Linked DNA regions of Cricetulus griseus. The protein of the gene in region 1 purifies or fractionates together with the protein of each later gene. This does not show direct contact. Links are inferred from orthologs where the notes say so. Each region holds a gene or a part of one and is shown on either strand. Other genes may lie near its edges.

What was found.
Region 2: the proteins of Camkv (region 1) and Ahcyl1 purify together in Homo sapiens (affinity purification with mass spectrometry; 3 studies listed by BioGRID and IntAct, counting the BioPlex papers as one, with this or other methods). This does not show direct contact. The link is inferred for Cricetulus griseus from reciprocal best matches to the Homo sapiens genes CAMKV and AHCYL1.

The regions. Positions count from the first base shown.
Region 1 is NC_048597.1:216,135,761-216,138,153, forward strand, and holds the end of Camkv (caM kinase-like vesicle-associated protein), read left to right. Parts: coding exon 1-347; 3' UTR 348-2,333; downstream 2,334-2,393. UniProt on the Homo sapiens protein: Does not appear to have detectable kinase activity.
Region 2 is NW_023276806.1:49,489,171-49,492,827, forward strand, and holds part of Ahcyl1 (S-adenosylhomocysteine hydrolase-like protein 1), read left to right. Parts: intron 1-852; coding exon 853-953; intron 954-1,390; coding exon 1,391-1,493; intron 1,494-2,629; coding exon 2,630-2,724; intron 2,725-3,552; coding exon 3,553-3,657. UniProt on the Homo sapiens protein: Multifaceted cellular regulator which coordinates several essential cellular functions including regulation of epithelial HCO3(-) and fluid secretion, mRNA processing and DNA replication.

The DNA of each region.
Region 1 (2,393 bases):
CCCCAGCCACAGATGGCAGTGCAACTCCAGCCACAGATGGCAGTGTCACCCCAGCCACTGATGGGAGCATCACTCCAGCCACTGATGGGAGTGTCACTCCAGCCACTGACAGGAGTGCTACACCAGCTACTGATGGCAGAGCTACACCAGCTACAGAAGAGAGCGCAGTGCCCACCACCCAAAGCAGTGCCATGCCAGCTGCAAAGGCAGCTGCCACCCCTGAGCCGGCTGTGGCCCAGCCGGACAGCACAGCCCTAGAGGGTGCCACAGGCCAGGCTCCTCCCTCTAGTAAAGGAGAAGAGGCTACTGGCTGTGCCCAGGAGTCTCAGGGGGAGAAGATGAGCTGAATGGGCAGCCCAGTGGGGGTTTTGAGGGATGGGAAGGAGGGTGGGAGTGTGGATGAGGGGCTTCTCATTGTATATAGAGTCACTGGCATGATGCCCTAGCTCCCCCCAAGCTCCCTCATCCCAGTGGGGCATGCCTGGGGGCCATGGGAGAGCAGTCTTGTCTCCTGTGTGGATGTGTGTGAGTGGTGGGTAGGCCAGAGGCAGGGCCAGCCCCAGCCCCTGCATGGATTCCTTGTGGCTTTTCTGTCTTTCGCTCGCTTCACCACTTTCTGTTCCTTGTGGGATACTGCTCTAGGGATACTCAGGGGGTCCTTGCTCTCCTTCTCCTTCCCTTCCTGCCTCATCATTTCCCCAGGCAGGCCCTGCAAGTCTCACACTTCCCCTGGCCCTAAATTGGGTGGCCTTGCCCTGAGAGCTGGTCCTCCAGCGAGGCCCTATCAGCAGTGTTAGGCTCCTGCACATGAAGGTGTGTACCTGTGGTGTGTGGGTTGCTCTAGGAGTAGATGCTGGCTGCTAGAGAGGATGCAGAATCTAGGGCAGTGTGCTTTAAGTCAAGTCTGGTCACATGATTGGGGGCACTGCACATTAGCTGTGGGGATCCTCAGAAGTGGGGGAGAGAATTGATAGAAGAGTAGAAGCTTCCGTCTTTTCCCATGGGTAGGCCTTCTGAAGATCCTTGTGTTGTTTCTTGCCCTCCCTAGTCCTGTAGTGGGTTACTCTGTATCCTGGTTCTTATGAAACTCTAAAGAAAAGGAGAAACAATTAGGATGTAGCAGTGGGACCTAGGAGAACAGAGTACAGGACCAGTACCAGGGCCCCAACCTGTCTGGGTCTTTATTCTGAGATAGATAGGGAGGGCTGGTGTTCCCATGGTCTTCCTAGATGCCACTACCACAGGAAGAGATCTTACCCATGGCCACCTCTTTCAGGCTCAGGCCATAAATCCTCTGGCCCTAAATACTCCTCCCAGGGAGGCATGGCAGTACCTCATAGGCTGCTTGAGAGTTTGCTTTTTTACAGTGGCAGATTTTCTGCTCTTCAGCAACATGGAGAGGATTTTCCTCTATTTCTGCTATCACAGGCTGAGGTATCGCTCAGCCATGTTAAGTTGCTCTTCTGGGATGAGGAAGTAGAATAAGATTCCCAGTCTCTGGAAGGATGCTCTTGGCAGGTGCCCTTGGTCCGACCCTGTCACAGCCTGAAAAGGCAGCCACACGCTGGTCCTTGCCCTAGCTCGGCACTCCATGGTGGTCCTGCCCTTCTCCCTGCATGCCTGTGGGTCTGCTCTGGTATGTGAAGGTTGGTGGGCTAACTGTGTGCCTGCTGAACCTGGCAAATAAACGTCACCCTGCAAAGCCTCTGGCCACCCTCTTGCCTTTGCTTCCTCTGTCCTATTGGGGAGGAACCCATGGAAGGCAGTGGGGGAGGAGAGGCTGATGCTCAGTGCATTGCTTAGGGTGAGAGTGAAGGTCACCTTCTCCAGTATGTACCTGGATGATGTTGATGGGGGACCCTCTGGACTCTAGGAAACCATGTGAGTGATGTGCTTCAGCCAAGAACTATCCCCTGAGCTGAGCACTTGAAGGACTGACGATTTTCCAGCTTTTGTTGACTTTGTCTTAACTTGGACATAGAGATGGAATTGACTCAGAGCCAACCACTACAGGGAGAGACCTCGCTCATGGCCACAGTGGGTCTCTTTGGGCTGGGGAGAGGCTAGGATTGCACAAAAGTTCTGTGCTGTATGTTGATGCCTGCTTCCTGTGAATACCTGTGCTTTCCACTTAGACCAAAAAGATTTCACTGTCTTCCCCAGCTGGAGCAGATCTGCTTTAAATATGGAGTCCTGTATGTTTCTTCTGGGGGAGTAATACTAACTATATCATAAAAATCCCTAAGGAGACTTGCTTCAGCTCAGATGGGCTTTGGTGAACTCACCTGGGTTGCCTTCTCAGGGAGATCCTTAAATTATCTGATGTGGGAATAATAAAGAGGGTTTGTTATTTCCTGGTCTTCGAAGCATCTATGCCTCCAAAATCAGTTTCC
Region 2 (3,657 bases), on another chromosome or scaffold:
CCTGGAAAAGACAGTTTCTCATTCTTTGGATAAACACTTCTCCCTATGTGGAAACTGAGCTTTAGGATACTTGTGTTTGTTTTCCCTTTTTCTTTTCCCAGTGTATGGTAATTACAGAGTGGTTTCTGTTTTCCTCATCATGACACCCTATTCACAGGTCTACAGGGAGTAGTCAGCAAGTGTTGGATCACAACATAGTGGTTATTTATATGGGATATTTTTTGTAGCTGCCAATACCAGAGAGCCAGATTTCCCAGAAGTAGCTGATGTGGCAGGGTTCTAAGCTAAGCCTTGGGTCTCCTTAAGTCCCAGGCATCCTCTACTGGAACAAAATAAAGGGGAGTGACAACCAACTGAATCTTAGTTTCTCTAGTCTACTACACTACTCCCAAGGGTCTCTGTTCCTGTTTCTTTATATTGAAGGTGTGTTCCATATGGCAAGCTTGACTGGCTAGGGTAAGACAGCAGATAAAAATAGCTGCAAGTGTCTTCCAGTGAAGTCAGTCATTCCTCCTGGTTTGATGAGGACATACGGAAGTCTGTCCATAACTGCTTCCCTCTCCTCTTTATGATTAGGGAGATTCACTGTATCTACTTTGACCAGTTTTGAAAGTTTGGTTCATTCTCCGATCAGACCTTTGTGTATATATAGCAGAAACAAGACCTGCCAATTGCTTACATTATAACTCTCCAGTTACGCCATTGGAGAAGCCTCTAGTCATCAGGAAAGTACATTTGGCATGTTCTACCACATCTCACCATGTCTCAGCAGACCCAACCCTGACTGTGGCTGGGCAGGATCGAATGGTGTTGATAGTGTGGACCTGGCTCAGATCCTTTGTTCTTCCACAGACATGTCTGCTCTGATTTCACTCAGGAAACGTGCTCAGGGAGAGAAGCCTTTGGCTGGTGCTAAAATAGTGGGCTGTACCCACATCACGGCCCAGACAGCGGTGAGTTTGTCGGAAGAAAACAGAGGGACTTCTAATAAAAAAAAAAGGGAAGAAAACATTTTTTTTATTAAAAATAAACATGCCTTTCCTTCCTACCTAGCCAGTCCAATTGCTGTTAGATAGAATAGAACCCCCTGTTCAAACAATGGTGTAGCATGTTTTGCTTTTGTTCATATACTAAACCCATTTTTAGCACATCTGCCTGAGGAGGATGTAAAATGATTATTATAAAAATGTTTTAAGACTTTTAGGAGCATGTCTTTCATATATAGTTAGGTAACTTTGTGCCACACAGCTGAATTATACCTTTGTATAACTCTCCAGTGTAGGGCCAATTGCTGTGAAGTTATAGATACTATGTTCTTGCTGAGGTTTTTGTCCCCTGCACCTGGGTAGCCCCACTCTTCCTCACCCTGTCTTTCTGTATATCCATATAGGTATTGATTGAGACACTTTGTGCCCTGGGGGCCCAGTGCCGCTGGTCTGCTTGCAACATCTATTCAACTCAGAATGAAGTAGCTGCAGCACTGGCTGAAGCTGGTAAGTTCTACTTTTTTCCTACCAGCTTTGCCTCAGGTAATTAAATATATGCCAGAATTGTCATTATGCCATTTATGTCTGGGAACTATAAATTTGGGCAGTCTTAAAACAGCACAGCTGGATATGAAGCTCAGTGATGGACTATTTCCCTGGCATCCAGCACAGAAGTGAATTCCATCCCAGCACCACCAGAGGGGTGAGGAGAACAGGAAGAAATTTATGCTAAAATCAAGGTATCACACACACATACACACACACACACACACACACACACACACACACACACACACACACACACACACACACACACACACACACACACGGAAATGCCCAATTCTAATGTTAAATTGATGAGAGAAAAAATACTGAACTGTGAGTTCAGTGGTGTCTTTTTCTCCCCAAAAGTTTTATCAGTTTTGAGAGAACACTGTAAACAATGTCTTTTATATTGATAGTTAATTGTTTATTTGGTATTCAGTAGTACAGTAAAATGTATGTGCTGATAAGTTTAATTAATTAAAAATAAAATAAATTTTTGTTGTTAAAATATTCAGAAGAACATCGCTATGAAGTTTGAGAACCTTCCACCTTCCTAGGATCTTTAGAAATTCACACTATATATAGAATTTTGTCTAATTCTTTTCTGATAAGTGTTTATAGAAGATTTAGGAAATTCAGAGTAACCAAAGATTTGACAAGCTGTTTCCCTGTGCATTATATTGGTGAACCAAATCTTAGTATGTATGCATTTTTATAACCTAAACATTGCATTTTCAGAAGTAAGTTTACTTCCTCATTGTCCTAGAATTGAACATTTAAATTATTTTGAGATGTCTGCTGATGTCCAGTGCTGTAGAAGGAGCTTTGTTATACATATTTCATTTTACCTCCTTAAGATGCAGTATAAAGTGTAAAATTGGCCTTTCTGGCTTCAAGATACTTCTCAAACAAAAATCTCTTAATTTCTCAATTTCTGAAATAAAAGTACTAATTTGGCTTTTACTTTTTACTCTTTAAGTTTCCCTCTTCAGACTTGTTTGTTTTGCCTTCCGTTCATCACATGGATCTCAGAAAATGGTGCTCATGTTAAGGGACACCTCAAAGGAAAATTAGTTGATTTATTTCTGTCTCCATAGGAGTTGCAGTGTTCGCTTGGAAGGGCGAGTCAGAAGATGATTTCTGGTGGTGCATTGACCGCTGTGTCAACATGGATGGGTGGCAAGCTAACATGGTAATAATTCATGCCATTCAATACTTTTGACTATGGATTTATTTCCTTTTCTCCCTTAAAGCATGGTTCCCTAAGTATATTTTTGTATGTTTGGTCTTATTTATTGACTCTATTGCTAAAGTGTTTATAACACAATACCTACTTGGTATGGGTCTGAGATGCACAAGGCCCTGGATTCAATCTCCAACACCAAAAAATGTAAAAAATAAATAAATGAAAAAGAAAGAAAGAAAGGAAGAAAGGAAAAAGCGCTCTGAATACTCAATGGAAAGGTGGGGGAAGGGTTAGCTTAAGTGGACACATGTCTCAAATCACATCAAAGTAAACAGAAGGAAGGGATGAGGCCCCTCTTTGGAGTAGGAGTCTTATTTCTTTCCTTCCTACTCCAGCTCTCCTTTTGCATTCAAAGGAGCTATATATTTCAACCAGGCTAAAAATGAGTCCATGATTTGTAAAATTTGTTTACTGTAGCTGGGCATGGTTGTGCATGCCTGTAATCCCAGCATTTGAGAGGCTGAAGCAGGAGTACTTGCTCAGGAGTTTTAGACCAGCCTGAGCAACATAACAAGAGCTAATCTTTAAAAAAAAAAAAAAAAAAAAAAAAAAAAAGCTTTCTACTGTAGCCTAGAACACATTTAGGAATTCTTTTAACCACTTTACACCAACAGATTTAACTATATTTCCACTGTCTAAGCCTACTCTGTGGAGCTTTAAGAAGTGCTCTTCCAAAGCATACAGGGCTTTCTCATTAGTGTAGAAAGTGGACTCAAAGTTCCCCCTAGCTCTAGCAGCCTGAATGCCCATAGAAGTCTTCTGGCTGTTCTGTAGATCCTGGATGATGGGGGAGACTTAACCCACTGGGTTTATAAGAAGTATCCAAACGTGTTTAAGAAGATCCGAGGCATTGTGGAAGAGAGCGTGACTGGTGTTCAC